Linked DNA regions of Rhinolophus ferrumequinum. The protein of the gene in region 2 binds, or shares a complex with, the protein of the main gene of each other region. Links are inferred from orthologs where the notes say so. Each region holds a gene or a part of one and is shown on either strand. Other genes may lie near its edges. The genes, in order: WASHC3 and WASHC4.

Region 1 (11,288 bases), about 2.2 Mb from region 2:
CTACTACAAAGCAAGTTTCTAACCTTGGGTCTACTGACATTTTGGGCTAGACAATTCTTTGTTGTGGGGGGCTGTCTGGTGCACTATAGGATGTGTAGCAGAATCTCTGACCTCTATCCACTCAATGCCACTAGTACTCTCCAGTCGTGACAACTAAAAATATTTCTTGACATTGCCAAATGTCTCGTAGTTCAGAACCACTGCTTTAACGTGTAGATGACTTGACTATGAATATAAATAATATAACCAACGAGAGTAACTGTGCCCATCTCTGAAAGTTTAAGCAAGGAGGAAATGGAAAGACATCAGTTTCCCATGTATTTAGCCACCCTTTTATCTTTATAAGGATTTAAAGCAAACCTGAAATATACCTTGGCTTGGGACAGTAGAGGAATTTACAAGTTACCTGAAATCTGTAAGCTGAGCTGAAAACTTCTTGATTTATCACCCATCTATTTCTAACGCAGAGTATTTTATTAAAGTGAAAAAGAAGACGAAAGGAAGAAATATGGAGTGAATAGTTAAACATGGAAACAAAAATAAAATACTGTGGTTTTTAGGTTTGTAAAATATCCAGTGTGCATATCCAATTCTCTAAAAGAGAAACAGTATTTTAAAATAATGGATCTCTTGGTATATCACACTGGATTGTACGTGTCCGAACAGCCAGAAAGGGAAGCAATTGCTGGTTTTATTAAGCTTCATCTGACACTTAAGCCCAGCAGTTGTAAAAGTTGTAAAAGCAGTTGTAAAAACTTGTAGCAATAAATAGTTTTAAACAAAACATTATTTGGTTGATAAGTCCGATGGTGGGCTTAAAACTGGATGTAGAAGATAAGCACTGTAAAGTTTTTTAGATTATGTGAGAATTCTCAGCAGTTTTGCCTATACTTAAGATTTTAGAAACAAAAAGAAACATTTTAGAATATGTTTTAAATGATTAAAAACCCAGTATTCTAGGCATGTTACAAGTCTGAGTCAAAATGACACATCTGACTATCCTGTTTATAGAGTAGCTTTGACTTTAAAATTCAATATAAGGTTAAATTTCTGCTCACTTTTATCTGCAATATGCATAGAACTTGCATTGAATGCCCCACCCACCCCACTCCCAATTTAAATTAGCAGTCCCAATGGACCACCATAAGATTTTGCTGATTAGGGCCAGAGTAGAAATGCTTACTGGGGATTTGTGAAGAGATGACCCTAAGTAACTCTGCAACTTGGATCTGATTCAGCTACTTTCCTTTCTCCCTCTTCTAACTTCTTTCCTACCCTGGATCCAGTCATTAGAACAGTTACAAAGTAGTCTGGTATCCAGAAAGTTTTTTAAAAGTTAAGTTCTTCACTTTTCTCTTTACTAGAGAACTCTAAAACCAGTATTAGTGATGAAGAGAGCCCCAGCAATTTATTTCAAATTTAATTACAGTTTAAGTTTAGCAGTGACTGAAGTTGTTACAGTTTGGGTTTGGTTCAAACCAGATTGTATGAAAAACAAAAAACAAAACACAAACAGGTATTTCTTCCCTCCCTCCCCCATTAACTTCCAGTTCAACACATAACAGCTGAGGTTCATGTTTTGTTGAGGGAAACAGTCATTTGGGTTCTTGTTTGAGGCTTTAAATGAGGATTATAGACCTACTAGGTGCCATGTCAAAAAACCACATTAATCTTAACTTGGAATAAAATGGCACCTTATGTTTGAACACATATATTATGTCCTTTGAATTCATCATATCAAAAAGACATTACATCAAAGGGATATGGCATAGCAAAGAGAATACGTATCTGAAAAATACAATTTGAAATAGCTATAAAAAAGACACTTTGAAGTCTCTCACTTGCAAATGATGTAAACATGCCTCTTATTCAGGGCAGAAGATGCAATATAACTGAATAGGGAGACATTTTTGTTTTTTCCAGTGAGTAGATCAGAGTTGGAATCCCAGCTCTGCTATTTTCCAGCTCTGTGAGTGTGGGCAAGTTAGCGCAGTTACTGCAGCTATAAATACTATGCACTTAAATATATGTTGAATGAATGAATGAATGGCTAAACAAATGATTTAAACTTCTCTACATCTTGTTTCTGTATTTCTAAGAGAGAGATAGCTGGACCTCTTCCAAAGGGCTGGCTGGAATGATTAAAGATATGTAAAGCAATTAGTACAATGCCTAGCACGGAATAAGCACTGTCATCACACCCAGCAAACAGTCTACAACTATATCCAAACTGCTAAAATATGAATTGTAAATAATGAGTCCTAGTCAACCTAGAGTATCATTCATTAAGGAGAAAAAGGCAATAAACATTTAAACTTCATGAGTTTTTAGTTAACAAGCTTGTCTCTAGAGTTCAAGGAAGAACTAGGGAATAGTGAACAATACAGTGAAAACAGCTGAGGGGAAGTTGAGAGAGGAAGTTGAGAAGGGGAGAAAAGAATGAATCACGAGGCTCTGATAATTCCTAAGAAATCAGTAAACAAGAGATGATGATTGTTATATCTGATCTAGTCCCCAGTCGACAGTACTCACTGCCCAGGCCATGAAAACCATGAGGCACTACAGAGGTGAGGCGCTATCCTTGGCCCAGAGCAGCTCAGTTAAGTTGCTTTCATAGGTGTGTTTGCTGGCTGTTGCTGTTTATTTTTTAACCCAGTGATGAGGGGATGGAGTATCTGCTCCTCTCTACTAACAATCCTGGAATAGTCGCTGTCCAGATACTTCTCTACCCATCCCTGACATAAAAAGTGAAGGACTAAATCCTTGGTTTACTGGTTTTTGGTCAGTCAATTCTACACCCATTTAGAGAGGCAGCAATATAAAACTCACTGAAGCAAGCACCTAGTCTCTGGACCTATTAGATAAAATATATTGAATTGAATCCCTTACTCTATCAATTATCATTTCAGTGCCTTTGTCTTAGTAAGAAGACAGAAAAGATTTTGATAGCTAGACAAAAACAGCAGCTGAAATCTACAAGTGAAAATAGTTTTCTTCTCTCCATGCAATTTTTATTAATCAGATATCTAAGAAAAACTCCATTTGCTAAGGCTATACCTTATGTTAAATACAACACATAAAGAACTCAATAGGCTTATTTAATTGGCTCACCTGTGAATTATGTGAGTTTATCTTTCTCCTTTCTTAAATCCAATTTCAACCCATGTTTCCCATTTCCTCCCCATTCTCTTTTTTGCCTTTTTCCCCCCTAAAGACAGGGATCTCTCATCTTTAATTGGGTACTTAATCCTCACTTCACAAATCAGTTGCAGAAAGTATTTTTATTTTCATAATGATATTTGATGCCAAAGCTATGTTTCTAGGCTACCTTCTTACCCATTTTTTTTTTTTTTGGCTCCAAAGATGTAAAATAATTTTAATATCAACTGAAACAATGTGAACTTGAAAATGTAAATCTTTGGGGTAAGAGAAACATAACTAATTTCAAAATACAAAATGTTTTCAACTGTGAAATTTTGGAATTCCTTTTGTTCTCTTTAATCATAAGCTTTACTGAACTATTTCACAAAGGCCTCTAGAAAACTAATGCAACAGAAGTGGAGTGCAGGACTGATGGTAACAGAATCAAAAAGGATTTAAAGTATGTTAACATAATTGGGTTCATATGGGAAGAGTAGACTGTAATTCTTGTTTTACTCATTTGCCGTCTTCAGAAGTGCAAAGTGATTTTTAGGGTACTCATTACACCAGTATCACAGGACCTACCTCCTCACAAACTGTAGAAAAGCGATTGAGGAACTGTACAGTGTGCACCACAAACTGGTTTAGAAATGCCACCGTTCTTTTCTGCTGAATAGCTGGCACCTGTGTTATGTAAAAAATATATATATATGTGATTCGTACAGGAGGAAGATACACTGTGCAATCCCTTTGATATTAATATAACGGGGTGTTTTATGAGCTGTGTGACACGAATCCCTTTTAGTACTGCCAACAGGCAGTCCATAGTTTGTTTTCCCAAATCGTGGGGGTGGGGTGTCCGAAGATGGCAGAAGCTGCAGAAAAGTTTGAGAATGGGCTCTGGATTCACAAGTAAGAACTTGTCGGTAAAGACAGCACACATAAACACACAAAAAACCTGGGGGCCGAGTAAAAGAGGTGGGGTTAGAGTTCGCAACCGGCCCATGTCGCCTTGAGCATAGAGACCCGTGAAGCGAGGGCTGGGAGAGGCACACGACCCCCTTAAACAGCTCGGGAGGGACCCCTTTTCAAGGTGAAGTGTGGGACTCTCCCTCCCGAGACCGGCCGAAGAGAAGCCCGGGGCCAGGGACAGGGTGAGGCATGGGAGATGGGGTCCCCCTGGGCATCGGGCGTCCCTTCCCCATCCTCCTCCCAGGTCACCGGAAGTTCAACTCCTTCCTTTACAAACCTTGGTCAGGTCTATGCCTGACCCCATGAGAGGAAGCCCGTCCTCATCCATCTCCTCAGCGGGCGGGGGACCCAGGGATCACCCACAAAGTCCTCCCTGACGTGGCCCGCCCAACCTGGTAATAGTGTTTAAACGTCTCCCCCAAGTCCCCGCCTCCCGGGCCCTTCCTGCCGGAAGGAAAAGTCCCCGCTCGCCAATCATTCGGCGGCTCTCGGAGAGCACGCCCCCCGCATGGCATTCTGGAATTGGTAGTTCTAGGTCTGGTTTGTCACGTCAGACGCGGGGTGCAGCGTGGTTGCAGTTCTCGTAGTAAAATCTTAAAAACGAGGCAAAAAAGAAGAGTAAATGATTGCGTCCTTTTGAGGTTATACCTGCTTAGTTTTATCTGTTAAATATATTTAGCTAGGGGTCATTCATTAATCAAGTGTGTGTGTGTGTAACTTTTTTTTTATGCTGAATGCCAGGTACTCTGCTAGGCCTTGTGGGGAATACCAAGATTGAGTCAGATTAAGCCCGCTGTGCTTTATGCCCTGACAGAGAAGATAAGACTTGTTTTTAGAGGACTTTAAAACATGAAATACGTTGGAAATATCCACTTAGAGACATCATCAAAAAGGGGCCACAGACACCTGAAAAGACTGCACCTGGGATTTGAAGATCTTGGTTCAGATTTTGATTGTGCAGTTTACCAGCTATGTGATCTAGGACAAGTCACCAAACCAAAAGTTGAACCCCTTCTACTAGATACCAAGCACGATGCTCAGTACTAAGAAGATGAAGAAAATCGTCTCTGCCTTCAAGAAGATTTTAATCTAAGGCAGACGTAGAGTCTGGAATTGCCACATCTAGTGCAAACAATACTGAGAAAGTTGTGCGCACACACCCACACAGAGGCAAAGTGCTTTGGTATTGTAGACGAAAGGTGCTTTTAAATCCTCTGAGAAAACCAGAGAAGATAGCTTTTAAACGACAGAAGGTAGTTTTTTAGCAGGTTCCTGAGTGGAGTTAGCCAGACAGACAATTTCGGGTGGATCTTTGTACAAACAAAGGCATAGAGGCATGGAGGAGTATGGTTTGTAGAGGCAATGGGTAACTGGTTGTGCTGAAGCAAAAAATCCCAGAAATGGAAAATGGAAGCAAATGAGACAGGAATGGACAGAAGAGCTCATTAAGGCCCTTTTATGCCAGATTTGATACTCTAGTTCATGTTTCTCCAAAGTGTGATCCATGGGCCAGTTGTATCAATTATTTGGGCGTGGATGGTGCTTCTTACAATGCACATTCCAGGAATTGACCTTAGATAAACTCAGGACCTCTGGGGGAAATCCGCATTTTAATCAACCTCGCTTGCCCCCACCATTATTCTGAACCAAAAGGTGTTATTTCTATAGGTGATGGAGCCATTCAAAAATTCTGAACACGAGAGTGACGATTTACATTTGTAAAAAGGCTGCCTAGCACATAGATGTGCAATAAAAGTTGGAAACAGAAAAGTTGAGAGTACTATTTGTAGACGTAGAAATGGGAGGTAGAAGTGAGGATGGATAGGATGAGGAATATGTTTAAATATATTTCTTCATGTCTCTGTATCTATGTAATTGTGACTATATAATCTCTTCACATATAATTGAATATTTCATTGTTATTTTTCAACAACATCTATTGAGCATCTTCTATGTTCTAAATACTGTACTAGCGCCACACTAAATAAGATAAACATTGTGAGTGACAGCTCTAGGCAACTGTCCTTTATGTTTTTTGCCTTGATAATGTCCATGAGTAGGAATTTTTCCATTAGGTTATAAATTCCTTGGGGTAAAGTGCTCGCTTCGGCAGCACATATACTAAATTCCTTGGGGTAAATATTATCTTCTTTTCTTATGAGTCCTCACTTAGTACCAGCCACTCTGCTTTTTAATGAATACTCATTAATAATTTTAATACATGGTCTTGAGGGCTGTGATCTAGGATGACCTGGGATGGTGTCAGGGATTGAAGAGAGCCAGCCATCCATCAATCCACAAGATATTCCTTACTATGTGCCAAGCACTAGTCTATGAATCTGGGATACAGTGTTAACAGAACAGACAAAAATTCTGCCCTCATGAAGGTAAACAGATAATGAACAAGTAAGCAAACAGACATTAAGTTGCTCACAGTCCAGCTAGGGAGACAGAAAAATGCAAAAAGATTAACAATGTGGTAGTCTAGGTTAAAGTATGCCCCAAACAGGAGCACCCAGATCAGATTGATGAAATTAGGTGTGGTTTCCTAGAGGAGCTGATGTCTTAGCTGAATTTTGAAGATACAAAAGTTAGCAAGGTGAAGCAAATGGGGAGGAGCATTCCACAAAGAGGAACAGTATGTACAAAGGTGGTGAGGTTTGCACGCCCGAGATCTACATGCTCCAGATAAGAGCACCCCTTCCCTGGCCTACACAGCACCTTTGGTAGGAGTGAAGACCATCACTCATTCTTTCATGAGCTCTCCTGCTTCTGGCAAGAGTCCCCCCCGCCCCCCCCCCGAATCCCCCTCCACACACACCTTTTCCTCAACTACTCTGTGCCTTAAAACATTCACAATTGGTCCGGGACTCCCAAGTTATCCCTCATCCTTCAGGCTCTCCTCAACCTCAACCATATGGGTTTCTACATCACCTTTCCTGACCCCTCCCCAACTTCTAGACCCTTCCTCTAGGGTTTGGGAATTGGGTCATTGGCAAAATCTTCATTTCTCAATCTCATCTTTGCTCATTCTTCTCTTCAAACTCAAGCTTGACTGTTTCTTGAGGATATAGCATCCTATTCATCCTGTGGTTCTTTTTTCACCCACACCCTTACAATACTAGGCCAGGAGGTGGGGTGGGTGTTTTCCTTGCTTCTCATTGCTTTCAGACCATTGTTGTTCCTTTTTCCTTACAAACGCCCCACAGCTCTGGGTTTATGCTATCAGACATAAAATGACATCCTCGTAGCGGTCATCTGCAGGCTCCTAGGTTACTGTTATTCATTCCTTGAAGTCCTTAGTTTATGGCTCACTGCCATTCCTTCTAACACTACTCTTGTTGTAATTCTTGAAATTTGAGTATCTACAGAGATCATCTTTCTGGTATCCTGATTTCTCAGTTCCGGCAATTCTCCTCCTGGGATCTTGTCCTGTACTCTCCTATTTCAGGCACACTCTCCCTTGCATGTTCAATCTTAGCAACCTGGGGGCTGGGATGGAGGCCTAAGTGATTTATTTTTGTGATTGGGTTCCTTCCAGACCCAAGTCTGTCCCACCAGCTTATACTGTTGGCAAAGTCTGCGCTGGTTTCTTCTTGACTCTGCATTTTCCCAGAGTGTCACAGGCTTGCTCTTCCATCTACTTATACCCAGACCAGACCCTTCTTCTTGAGTATGGCAATGCACAGCTCTCTGCTCACCTGTGTCCCTCTAGACATAAATACCTGTCAGAATTTAATTATTAAGATCTATCCACTGCTTCCCAACAACCCCATGGAAAAGTGTGATTACTTTATCTGGTTATTTCTTATTACTACAAATGTGAGAGGCTTTCTGACATCTTTCTATATCCTAATCAGTGGCAGAAGTCTAATCATCCTATCCTTAGAGCAGCTTTCCCTCATCCATCAAGACTAGATTAACTGTTCCTCCAAATACATGCTTCCTTCCATAGCATCTTCTGCTTCACTTCATCTCAGTACATATTATACTTACTTGTTTGTCTGAAGCACTAGACCATTGATTTAGGGCAGAGATTCTGCCTTGTTCACTATTAATGCCCTAGCTCAATGTCTGATCTATTGTAAACCCTCAGTACCTGTTGAATGCATTGGGGCCTAATGACCCTTGTGCTTTCACAGCTTACACGAATCCTTGATTTAGGTGGGACCCACAATTCTGGATAAATTGTTTCAATCAGCTCCCCAAAGCAGAATCCCAACTAAGCCAGCCTAGAGTCTAGCCTTCCTCTCCAGAGCCAGGAGAGGCTCCCAACCAGATAGGAAAAAAAGACAAAACGAAATCAGAGATCCGCTTTATGGTTATGTATTTATCTGTTCTCTATATATGTATAAAATAGAATTATAGAAACATGAACTTGTTCTCAGTCGGCCAATTGACAAAACACTTTTTTTTCACAGTGGTTCGGTTTCTTTATAAAACAAAAGACAAATATAATTCTAGAAGAGGAGAGTTCTAGTTAAGAGAAAGAAGAGTGGCAGTTTTTCTTTGCTTCCTGGGGTCCTTGATCATCAATCATCCCTAGCTCCTGACAGCAATGCCAGTCACAATTTAGTCACTGAATTTCCAGGACTATTAAAAACAATCTATAGCTGTAAGTCTTGGCCAACTGCCAGAAATCCTCTGAAATATGTTCTTCTTCCTGCAGGCTTTCTCTCATTGGAAATGTATTAGCATATTTCATTTACCGTAGTGAATTTTGATAGCAAAACAAGTTTATTGTAATGGATACCAGCTTCAAAGGGCAGAGACTAATATGCCATCTGCATCTATCTGTTCAATAAAAAAAAAATCTTAATTTTTCAATACTTATCTTGGTTTTCATAGCAGATTACTAGAAAAATCACTGCCATTTAACTTCATCATGGGTAAGTTCTAGGTGGGGTAAATAATGAGAATTGAGTTCCCGTTTTTCTTTTGTGTTTCTTTCTGCTCTGCTTCAGATGGAACAGTTAAAGGGGTATGTATTGGTTCATAATAGTGGGCAAATAAAATGTCCCCTATCCCTGCCCCACCTCACCCTTCAGGAGTGATACCAATTGTCTGTTGAAAAGGGAAAATAGTGTTAGTCAAGTGAAAGAATTCTATCCTAGTTATTTCCATTGTGTTAAGAATTCGTTGTTTTAGGCTACTTCTTTTAATTGTTCTGGCTTTTGGAACTTCACTCAGAAAGCTGGGTTGTAGGCTTATATCCTCTAGGCCGGAGACTGGATTCCCCTCTAGAAAGATGACTACTTCAAGAGGAGATCGAAAGATACTTACAGTTGGGGGGGGGTCTCCAATAAAACAGGTAGCCAGATGGTACTGCTTTCCTTGAGCGGGTTGGGGAAAGGTCTCAGTTGCATTTGTACCCGTGAGTTTTAATACATACAGGTGCCTAAGTGATGAAACAGAGAGGCTAATGCTATTGAGAGAATTTCTTAGTTACATTTCCCAGGAGAAAGGGGCATGCATGCCACACAGAGCCATTAGGTTTTGGTTAGGAGGTAGACAGAAGCAGGAGCCAGGGGAAAGCCTAGGCCAGGGTCTTTATTGGGGTTTCTGTGGGAAATGTATTATCTTTAGATACCCCTGGTCAGTTGCAGAGTGTGAAAGCATTCACAAGACTCAGACAAATGAGAAAGCAAGGAGAGGTTTTATTAGTCAGGAGAAAGGAAGCTAGTGTCAGTGTCTTGGGAAGACGGCTGCCCTTTCCTCTAGGATAGCTTTTTCTTATATAGAAAAAGGCAGGTAAATTTTCTTACAGCAGGAGATGTGACGCCCCTCTGAGATCATTTGATTGACGTATGCAGGTTACATAACGAGTTTCTGTGCATGCTCTTATCCATAATGCATACAGAAAAACCCACAGGGGTGCCAAACCTTAATGCTCATTTTATTCTAATTGCGGTTAGGCTTCAGCCATCTGCACAGGTGTCAGGAACAAACTCAATCCCGTTGGGGTCTTATCTGCCTTTTTAAGGGGTGTTTGAAGCTTATCTCTGAGACCAGGCTGGGCAGTTCCTGGGGAGGGGCTGCAGGCCTGGGCCATCCCGCTTGGGTCCACTGTCATTAACTCTTTTTCTGCCTCATCGGGAAAGGCAAGGCAGGGCAGGGATACAGCTGGAGATTGGCTAATGTGAATGACTGCCAATTTGATGTATGAAGGCTTACGTAAGATGGCTGGGGGTACAGGTACCTCCTGCTTTTCAAGTTTTTGTTACGCCACTTGGCTTTTACCGAAGGCCTACCTTAGTACCTGTGAAGAGGATTTTCACTTTTATGAAGAAAGGTGAAAAGGGAAAATAGTGCTCAGCGTTTGTTTTGCAGTGAGCCCTCATGCAGGCAGCACTCACCTGAGTAATGAGAGTGGCCCCGCCAAGCTCCTTCCCCCGAACCACTCGGTGTCTCAGCATCAAGCCGCCATAGCCTTGACCGGTGTCTGTGAGCATCTGTGCTTTGTCTCCATTACATTCTGTATCCCTTAGCGAGATGTATCCTAAGGTATCAGAGAAGCCTGAGAGAGCTCCTAAGGGTGTTAGGCTTAGTGTAAAACGACATAATTAAGCATTTCGATAATTGTGAACAAAGTAAAGACACGGTGTGTGCGTTGAATTTTGGGTGTGGGAACACTCAAAAAATTTTCCATATAAATTAATGATAGTTGCTTTTTCCCTTTATGCCATTTCAACCTACAAAAGTTTTCATAGAAATGCTCTACTTTTCAATGGGGGTAGTGGAAGGGGAAGGGACCTGTAATGGGCTCAGGTTTGGTTGGTTTGCATATAAAAATGAGCTTCCAAGTAAGATGTTTTACTATCTTTAGGAATTAGCTAGTCCTGGGAGAGACAGTATCTCCCAGGGTCTATAAGACCACAAATGCCAGAGCTTCAAGAATACAGAAAATAAGAAAATATAATTAATATAATTGGCCCTGTGATGAACGGACGCTAAAAAGTCAAATACAGAATGTAAGACAACACAGAGCTCTCATCTTTCACATGTGGATTTTCAGGTAATCATCTTAGCAAGGCACCTCTCTCCTGAGTTTAGGATCTCATTCAATTTCTCAAGAAGTGATCAGAGGGGAAGTAGTAGCTGCCTAGCTGTGCAAGCCAGGGGAGGGCTTTTGGGAAGGGGGTCTAATCATTCCTCATCCAGATTCTCCGTCAAAC
Region 2 (10,787 bases):
ACATAGTAAGTACTCTGTCATTATTATTATTATTACTTCTTTAAATAAATAAATATTCATGCATACTGTATATATTTAAACACATATTTGCTTTTAAATGTTTTTAACATCTTAAGAATACAAATAATTACCTCATATTTTAATTTCTTGATTTCACAACAAAGTGCAGCATAAACCGTGATGACTTTGTTTAAGACCTAGTTTCATGAGTAAAAAGATAAAAAAGAAAATTATAGCAGATAACTAAAGCATTTTAGACATAGATTTTTAGGTTTAGGAATCCGTACCTTATTTTCAGTCTTTATGAGTTCCAAAAGGGAAGACTGCTCATAAGGCAAAAGCTATAGAAACAAGGAAAAGAACATCTTTTTAATTTGAAAAGAATCACTGAAATCTTAAATGCACAAATTGAGACTAGCTCTATTCTATTTAACTTGTATTAGACCCTATATTCAATACTAGCACCATACCAGATGGGGAGTAACTACTAGTGGGTACAGGATGTCTATTTGGGGTGGTAAAAATGTTCTAAAATGGCTCTAAGGATGGTTGCGCAATTCTGTGAATACATTAAAAAGCAAGGAATTGAATGATATGTGAATTATATCTCAAGAAAGCTGTTATTTAAAAAGTCAATATGTGATTTAGAACTAGTACATAATAAATGCTCAATAAATGTTATTATTTAAGTGGTAACAGGCTATAGTTTCAAAGACAAAACAAGATAGAACTACCTCAAAATGGAACAAAGCAAGAATAACCTGTTTTATACATTGCAAAATTATTCCTACATTAAGATCCCCTAAATAACATAAAGGAACTTATGGTAAATGATGAAAATATTCTGTTATCTTGATTGAGATATGAGTTGCATGGGTATATGTGTTTGGCAAAATCACTGAACACTATATTTTCAATTTATGCATTTCATTGTATGCAAAATAACCTCTATAAGAAACAAATGCAGCCTGAATATTCTATTCCAATCTTCTTCATTTTCTTGAAAATGAAAAACAAAGGCTAGCTCAAAGAGTTGGATGGACTATGTGACATTCTTGACACTAAAGGCTTTGAGTGTGTGTCATTCTTTAAAAAAAAAACAAAAACATACAAAAATATCTGCATAGCATAGAAAAGGAAATTAACAATTTTCTCCAAATTTCTTTTATTTTCTAGATTCCAAATAATATATGCTCCATTTTTAACAATTATGTTTTCAAGATATAATATGTCCTGAAAATGTATACAAAAAAAAAAAATCAAACCTTTAATGCTATGGGATCAAGATTGAAATCCCAAACATCTCCAATTGAATCATCTAGTGCATCCTCAATTCTTCTCAATTGAGATGTATACTCCTCAAGAAATTTCCCATAATTCTTAAGTTGAACTTCAGCATGAATTTCTAAATTTAAATTTTAAAACAACATGTGAGAAGTACAAAAATGACACGACATTTACTTTATATAATCTCAAAAGTCACAGCGAAGTAGATACTAAGCATTACTAAATGTATTACTCTGGAATGTCTGGACTTCTTGAAAATAAAGATTCAAAGTTAAACGGTAATTCAGCTTTCAATATTTTCCAGATAAAATAATATTAAAAGCAGATGTTGCCATATACAGAGAGATATATATCACCTTAAAACTAATTTTAAAGTAGTATGAAAAAGTCATTACCATTTACCCTATAATCCAGGGCTTTTAAACAATCTGAATAATTCCTTAGACTATGCAATGTCTTAATTTTATGTTTTAGGCTTAAACAACATTTTTGCAAAAAATAAAATAAATTCATGACCTGAATTAAGTGTAAAAATCTGTGTTGTCATACAAGCAAAATTTAAAAACATAATTCTTAATTCTATGCACCTGTTTAAAAATACACCTATATAAATGTTTTTAAAATGCATTTAGACCTGCTTCATCATAATGATTATTATTGCAATGCCCCCAAATTTACCAAGATTTGCTTTCATTATTTAACTATCATAATAGAGTTGGAAAAGCCAGTAAAGAACACTAAGTACAGAATAATGTGGTGATATTTACAGAATTTACACATTAATAGATGACTCCAAAGAGGCATTGGAATAAACTTAACAATAAAGCTATGCCTATTGGTCAATATTAATGAAAGTAAATACGTATTCCACCTCATACATAAGAATTCATTTATTACAAAAGCAGCAAATTCAACTCCGACTCAGTTTCTTTTATTAACTTTATCCAATCCCTGTCTTCTAAAAAAGGTACAATTGTCTCTCCTCAAATTAGCAATGAGAAGCAACTCTAAGATAAAGTATCTTCTGATACGTTAAGGATAAAATAAAGATCTAGCTCCCCATTCTCCCTTATTTTGCAACTAATGCACTTGAATCAGGTGGATCCATTTAGTTCATTAAGGTTCTCATTAATCTAGGCAATTCTGAAAAACAATTAGTCTAGATATGATTCATAGTCCAAAAATTAATGAAAATCAGGCACAGAGAAGAGATGAGATGAGCTCTTCCCTATAGCTTAAAATAAAAACCGTGTAAGATTCTCAAAATCCCAAGTACACATTTAATTCTCAGTTACATGGAAAATGACCTTAGTTGTATTTATTCAACAAATAAGTTCTTAATGACAATACTAGAAAAACATGCCAATAAATTACTTATTTAGTCTGGGAATTCACAAAGTATCAGGCAACAGAAAACCTGTAATAACATTCAAGTTCCTTGCTGATAAGAAATAGTTGTAAAATTAGTAAAAGTTAAAATAAAAAAATTTGAAGTAAAAAACTATGTGGTGATTATTCAAGAGTGAAATTCCAAAAACCAATTTACATGCTTATCTCTTCCAACAGACTACATTCTTTGTTTTATCTTTGTATCCCTAATACCTAGCATAGCAACTGGTATACAGAAAACGTCTGCTGAGTGAATCAGATCACTGTACTCTAAGGTGAACCATTTTTAAACCCAATAAGATGTTTTTATCACAATTTTTTGAAGATGAAAGTAAATATTCTATTTTACACATAAGAATTCATTCTTTACTCCAAAGGCAGAGTTGGGGACCTTTGTCCATAGACCTTCATACATGATAAGGTGCAGTTCACTTTGTAACAGTAAATACAGAATCCTCTCCACAAAAAAAGTTAGAGAATTTTGTTATCACCACCAAGATTGTTTTCTAAGGCTGCAAAAGAGCTAATACCTTATAGAGTGAAAAACTGCAAACCATCCCTTAATTTACTCACGCTTCTTTGAAAGACTAAAACCTAATTACACCTAAGTTTGTACACCACTCTTTCTTTATAAAATCAAGCAAAATTCATAGGTAATTTTTTAAAATTACATTCACCTTTTGGAAAACTTGTATTAAAAACAAATTCACAAGCAGTATGTCCCAGTATCTCCAATATCACTTAAACAGATTAATAGCACCAAAAAAACAGACTGCCAACTTGTGTTAATCTTAAGAGTTTCACTACAATAATTAGTTTGGCCTCTAAATTTTGCTACGTGGAACTAAATTGGTCAGTTTCCTGTCACTGGATTCTAAGTTAAAGTCAGACAACTCGATTTTATGAAGCAAAACGTGAGGCAGATTTGCTGTAATTTTTGAAACCTTTCTAGCGACAATGGAAAGTACAGGACATCACTTTCATTTAACGTAAATAAAAGACATGGAAGGAGATAAATTAGCAATCACGTGTTAATTTCACCATGAGAAGAGTTCCTTTTCGCTATCTTCAACGGTTGTAAGAATGTGAAGGAAAAACCACTCAAACTTCCAAAAGTTGACTGGGGAGGGAAAAAAGAAAAACAGGAAACCGAAACAGGAACCCGGACCTCAGCCTCTGCTAGAACTGAACGCTCTGATGATCTGGCGAAAGCCCCGAGAGTCCAAAGACAGGACCAGCCTCCGCTCCCGGGGCTGCTGGGCCTCCCTGGACACGCCCCGCCCGCGTCCCCCGGCTGCAGAAAGTGGACGCCGCTCCCCCAGGGGCACCGCGGGCTCCTCTGGAGAGTCACCGCCCCGAATGCCGAGCCCTCATCGCGCCAGCCTGACCCGCCATTGCTGGGACCCTTATCCCCAAAAGTAACGCGCTTGAGAACGCGTCCCTCTCAATGGGCAGAAAGTGCCCCGAACCCGACGGCTGCGCAGCGACCGCGACGCAAGCCCTCCCGCAGAAACGCCGCCAAGGCTGAGGCCGGAGCGGAAGCTCCCACCCGCAGCCCTATCCCTGCTGCTCCCTTACTCTGTGAGCCGTCGTCGACGCGGTCGAATTCCCAGTCCGGGGACAGAGTCTCCACCGCCATCACTACGACGCCTCCCTCAGTCACAGCTCCAGCCAGCCTGGTGGACTACGGCGGCCTCACCCCAGCGGCTGTCAAAACACGTGATTTCCGGCTCTGGCACCACCCCCGTGCGCGAGGGGCGCGGGGGCCGCTGGGAAAGCGAGTCCTACCCGGTGGCCGAAGGGAGCTGCAGTTGAGGCGGCGGTCCTCACGGTGTCCTCCCGTTTCTACTTGGGCTTCGCCACTGCTCTCTTCTGATGCCACACCTATACCCTCAATTTCGCCCTGCTGTCTCCAAGCTACTTTTAATACCTGGGAGTTGCTCCCTCAGTCGAGCCTAAAAAGGGCAAAATTGATGAGGTGGGGGCTTAACAGGAAGGCGTGGTCCGATCCTCGAGGAAGTCGCTGTCCAGGCGATTCTTCCAAGAAGCCAGCATTTTCAACGCTCTACCTGTCATCACCATCCGAGAGCTGCTTTCTTCCTGCACGTCTTGTGCGGATCGTTCTTGAAAAAAACAAAGAACTGCGAGGAATAGTGACTTTACAAACAACAAACCATAGCGAGGAATTTTACTACTCTACTTATGTGATACTTGCACGCTCTCCTCCCCCTGCTCTCAAAGGTGGGGGGAGGGGGAAAGCGCTGTCTAAGTGTGTTTTTAAATGTCTACCTGCTACCTGGCTTTTCCGAAAATAAGAATCTGTGTTACCCAGTAACGCTACTTACACTAATGTTCATTGCTGCATGGTTTTTAACAGATACTAATAGGACAAGATACAAATGTCCATCAACAGGGAATAATTACGTAAAGTTTAATAATCCACACTATGAAATACTAGATATCTGTCAAACGAAATGAAATAGATTTATAGAGGCATGCGAAAACTGTTAATGTCTTCAACCAGTATTTAATCAAGACCTCCTCTGGTTAATATTACCACAGGGACTAAAACCCTTCAAAGAGTTCGGTTGTCTGGTAAGGGAAATTAGTAAGATATTTTAACTCAGGGATCAACAAAGTACAGTTGATAGATCTGCCACCTGCTTTTGTAAATAAAGATTTAATGGAACACAATCATGCCCATGTATTTGCATATTGTCTATGGCTGCTTCATAACACAATGGCAGAGTGGAGTAGTCCCTACAGTGACCATATTGCCCAGGAGGCTAAAATATTTACTATCAGGCCCTTAAGAGAAAGTTTGCCAGCCCTTACTTTAACTTCAGAAGAGCAAAATAAGAAAAAAAAAAGTCTTTCTATATAAGCTGTAGTCTACAGAGTGGGTTGAAATAACCTAATTTAAAAAGCATAATGATCTTAGAAAAGTCTTATAATTAATACATCAAAGTAATTGACAGGACACCTCTAGGTCCTGGAGGCAAGGAGGCAACCTAAAGTACTCAAATAGACTGGTTTGCAGTTAATAAAGTAGATAAAAATAACTTTTTAAAGATCTGAAAGAGAATAAAAGCAGGCAGAAACCACAGGAAAATTTATTCAGCAACTGGTAATAATTATGTTTATGGCTTTTTGCCTGACAGTGTCTTTCATCGCTTCAAATACAGGATTGCAACACTGCAGTTTTACTGGCTCGAGGTGGAGCAAAATTAAGTTCAGGGTTGTTGGAAGAGATGCCAGAAATTTGGGGGGTAGGGGGGAATCCTGAAGCAAGGGACACACAGAAGGGATGAAATCTAAATTCCGAATATAAACCCTGCCCTGATTCCTGGCTGACCACTAAACTACATGAAAGAGGGTCTGCTGAAATAGCAGTCAGGAGTCCTTGAAAAACAACTGTTGAGAGGTGTGTTTGCTGCCCTTTGATGCACATATTCTCCAACAGATGTGCACATCAGGTAGCAAAAGCTAACACCCTGTGGGTTTAAGATAGCGGAGAACAGAGGTTGGGCTCACAGAGCAGCTTGAAATTTAGAAGGAAAAACTGATAATCAAGGGAACTACAAAGGGAGTGAACTCCAAAATCTGAGCAAAAACACTGGCCAAATCTTTGTCTAAATGAAGAACTAAGCAGAAAAATAAGCTGCTGTACTCTACAAGGTTTGAGTCCAAGCAAACTTACTTCTTTCTAAATTAAAACCACAATAATTTTCTTAAGAATATCACAGAGAGTCACCGAATTGGCATTTTTTGATAATGAGTGATAAAGTTTTATTAACCAAAATCTGACAGAATAGAAAGAAGAAATAGATAAAATTATAAGTACAGTTGAAAATTTTAACACTTCTCTCTTGGTATTTGATATAACAAGTAGACAGAATATAGGATTGAATGATATCTCAACCAACTTGTCCGAATTGATATGTATAAGACATTCTACCCAACAACAGTAAAAGAGACATTCTTTCAAGCATACAAGAAATATTCAGTAAGACAGGCCATATACTATGCCACGAAACAAGTCTCACTACATTTAAATGGATTGAAATGTTATAGTTATATTCTCTGACCACAATGGAATTGTATTAGAAATCAATAACAGAAGAATCTCAAAATCCCTGGAATTCCCTAAATATTAGCACAAATCTCAAGTGCATTATGTTTAATGAAGAAAATCAGTCTAAAAAGTTACACAGTCTGTGATTACATTCATTTGACTTTCTTGAGGAAATAAAACTACAGTGGTAGAGAACATTTTAGTGGTTATCAGGATTAAGGGGTGGTTCGTAGACATGACTACAAAGGGATAGGGCAAGGAATTTGGGGGTGGGGGCTATGGGGAGTAGAACTGTTCTGTATCCTGATTGGTTCCTTACAGAGATCTATACATTTGTTAAAACTCAGAACTGTATACCAAAAATAAAGGCCATTTTGCTGTATGTTAATTTTAATACATCTCTTTGTGGGATTGGCCTTCACATGTGACTTCAGGATTGGACTTCAGGATTTAAATGATGTCAGCTCTTGGATTTTCACTTTTTCTTTTTGTTTCTTCACAGCTTTTGCTATGTGGTAGCCCTTGGCAGTTTCAGGCTCATCACCATACCAGATCTAGCAAAAGAGAAAAAAGGAACATGCAACTGATAGCTCAAACAGAAGTCCCAGAATTAAGTGGCTGGCCTTGATTCGCCTCATTACTAACACATTGTGTATACTGCTGAACCAATCATTGTAAGTCAGGGGATGGGAAGGATGTACGGATTGGCTTAGTCTAGGTCATGTGCTTCACCACTGGATCCTGCAGGGAGGGGTTGAGGGAGAGGTAACTTCATAGGAACCACATGGCCTAAGAGAGGGGGAGAAGCAGATCCTCAGAGGAAAACCAGGATACTGTTATCCCAAGTAGTGGGCTGGTCTTACAGTAGTGCTCTACCTGTAGATCACACTCTCTCCTAGGGTGATGTCTTCTTAGAATAGCAGTTGAGAGCCTGAGCTGTTCACTGGACTCCCTTCTTCTTGGCAGGTGTTTCTTGATACTATTCAGTTTCTTGATACTGAAAACTGCTTTGCTTTTCAGCATTTTCTTCTTAGTTTTATAGCCTTAATCCCATATTCCATAAGAATCAGCAAATAACTCAAACTGAAAACAGGTGTCGTGAAATAGGTACATCTCCCTTATCTTTAAAATATTGGCTCCTCAAGTCCTGGCCACTCAAACTCCAATTGTTGTTCTTTCTAACCCCATCAGATGCCTGAAAAACTGCTGGTTTCTTTGCCTTTTGGCATTTATTCGCTACCTGGTCAGCTTCTTTCCCCAAACCAAGCATTGATAAATGCCAAGTTGAAGAGCAAAATGCAAAATGTTAGATTCAATTCAACATTTGAATTGTTGGATTCAATTCAAGTGAGCTTCTTTTCCTTCCAAGACCTTGATACATCAAGTCTTGACTGCTGCATAAGCTTTCTGATGCCTTCAGATATGTGCTAAATTTGTTTTATCGAAATATACTAACTATTCTTGATGAGTGTTGTTCTGCTGAAAAGGAGTATTATAACTTAAAATGAAGTCTCATTTTATGTTTTTAATGTCTGTATGATCTGGTCTAATGTTCACTTCTCTGTTCTTGATATTTGTTATTTCTGCTTTCTCTATTTTTTCTTCATCAATCTCCTCAAAAGTTTATCCATTTTATTTTCAAAAAACCAACTTTTGGTTTTGTTGATCCTTTTTATTGTATGTATTTGGTCCTCAAAGGAGATGCCAAGATGAGATTAGACATGGGAGGGATTTATTAGGGGAAACAGCTGTAAGAAGAAAGGGAGAGCGGAGCCAGGGAAGGCTAAGACACCCATTAGGCTGCAATTCAGGAGAGAAGGAGAGAAGGAAGAAAAGTAGGCTAGGGAAGAGTATTAAAATGCTCTGAAATTCAAAGAAAATCTGGTAGGCCAATAGAGAGTCACCTCATGACCGTGATCTACATCTCCCAGGAATGACCTGCCTTAGTATACCTGGCCCTCTTGGTCATTGGCTGGGAGAAACCCATGGGAGGCATGGACTCAGTGTGAATGTGGAGATCAATTTTGGAGTACAACAGCTGAACCCATCAGTCAGTCATGCTTCCTGCAGTTGACAATCTGTCAGTGGATACTCTCAAGGTTGTCATCTACTATAATATTGGGTCACAGGAAAGCAGTTATACTAATGGAAACAAGATCCAAAAGGAATGCCTGCTCCAAAAGCTGGCAAGTGAAAGATAAATAGGAAAAACTGAAAAAAGTTTATTTCAGGCCCCAAACTTTCATCTTAGATAAGGGTAACTTGCTTTCAACTTTGCTTCTTCAGCTTTCTCTAGACTAGGCACTTTTCTCTCATTTCCTTCGTCTCAGCAAAGATGTCTTGGGAATGTCTATAGACACACGGTGCTCCCTCAAACACCAACACTGGGAAAGGCAAATAACATACCATCTCTTCCAGCAACTTTCCCTATCGTTATTTAGAAGTGCATTTTATAATTTCCAAAGAAGTGGTGATGCCACCAATTATCTTTTTGTTGTTGATTTCTAGCTTAATTCCACTGTAGCCAGAGCCGTACTCTATGATTTAAAGTGTTTAGAGGCTAGCATATGGTGAATTTTTGACAATATCTTGTACGCATTTAAAAAGAATGTGTATTTGGTAGTTGTATGCTTCTGTATTTGTTAATTAGGTCAAGTGCATTAATCATCTTATTTAAATGTTCTGTGTCATTGCTAGTATTTTGTCTGCTTCGATCAGTTATTAAGTAAAGTATGTCAAAATCTTCAAGTATACTTGCAGGTTTGTCTATTTTTCCTTGAAATTCTGATCATTTGTGCTTTATAAAATTTGAGACTATGTTACTAAGCATATACAAATTTAAAATTTTTATGTCTTTCTGTCAGATTAACATTTTCTTTTGGTTAGTGTATGGGTGGTTTCTAAAAAAATCACATTCTGAACTTTACATTTTATGAGTCTCCCTTGTAAGAGTTTTGTTTTTTTAAGCAATCTGACAAGATTTGCCCTTTAATTAAAGCAGTTAGAAATGGTTGAACTGGGTTTTCTTGTTTAGTTTAAATAAAAAAAATTAAAATATACATATTTTATAAAGGCTGATGATAATCCCCAGAGCTGCTAAGAAAAAGATCACTTTTTGTATCCCACCTTTTAGGTGTAATCTGGTGATATGCATTAGTGTTTAAACTGCTCCCTATGGTTCAGAAACCATATCTCATCCTAAAGACCTGACAGGATCCTTTCGTGAGGACGAAGACTGGTCGCTTACTGAAGGTTGCTCAGGAGAGAGACTAGAAACAACCTAATGTCTGGCAGCAGGAATAGGTTAAATAAATGACCTATATGACTCTCCATGGAGTGTGGGACAGGGGCTAAGAATGAGTGTACAGAACTTTATATGCGAATTAAAAAAAATAAAGTATTTTTTCATTTCCATTTTCCATTTTCATTTACTGCAATTACTGGTATATTTAAGCTTAAATCTAACATGTTACTTGTTTCCTACTATTTTTTTCTGCCTATTCCATGTTCCTCATTCTCTTCTTTTGAATTGGTTTTTTTTATTGTTCTATTATCCGATAGTTTTACATTCTACTAACTTAGTAGTTATACATTGTATTACTATTCTTTTAGTGATTATACTAGATTATAATAGGCATCCTTAGCTTACTAAAGTATAACATAAATTAGTGCTTTTATTATTTCTAAGGCAATGCAGTGGCCTTAGAACACTTTCACTCTACCTTCTCTCCCTAAAAATCATATGCTATTCTCATCATATATTTTAATTATATGTATTTAGGAGCTGCACAAAATATTACTAGAATTGTTTTAGACAATTAATATTAACTTAAATTTGCCCTCATATTTATCCTTTCCATTGCTCTTCATTCCTTCATTTCTGAACTTCCATCTGGGATTATTATCTTTCTGCCTAATGAACATTCCATTCTTCCAAGCCCTCCAATCATATCCAACAATTTTTATTGTTGTTTATATATTTTCATACATGTATATATCGTGCATGCATCGCTATCCACCTATATATATATGTACA

Evidence for each region.
Region 1: WASHC4 (region 2) and WASHC3 share a complex: the UniProt entries of both Homo sapiens proteins name them as parts of the WASH core complex. The link is inferred for Rhinolophus ferrumequinum from reciprocal best matches to the Homo sapiens genes WASHC4 and WASHC3.

Annotation. Positions count from the first base shown.
Region 1 is NC_046293.1:17,287,426-17,298,713, reverse strand, and holds the start of WASHC3 (WASH complex subunit 3), read right to left. Parts: upstream 4,546-11,288; 5' UTR 4,442-4,545; coding exon 4,391-4,441; intron 3,826-4,390; coding exon 3,727-3,825; intron 1-3,726. UniProt on the Homo sapiens protein: Acts as a component of the WASH core complex that functions as a nucleation-promoting factor (NPF) at the surface of endosomes, where it recruits and activates the Arp2/3 complex to induce actin polymerization, playing a key role in the fission of tubules that serve as transport intermediates during endosome sorting.
Region 2 is NC_046293.1:15,083,292-15,094,078, forward strand, and holds the start of WASHC4 (WASH complex subunit 4), read right to left. Parts: upstream 4,384-10,787; 5' UTR 4,316-4,383; coding exon 4,255-4,315; intron 1,406-4,254; coding exon 1,266-1,405; intron 342-1,265; coding exon 288-341; intron 198-287; coding exon 132-197; intron 1-131. UniProt on the Homo sapiens protein: Acts as a component of the WASH core complex that functions as a nucleation-promoting factor (NPF) at the surface of endosomes, where it recruits and activates the Arp2/3 complex to induce actin polymerization, playing a key role in the fission of tubules that serve as transport intermediates during endosome sorting.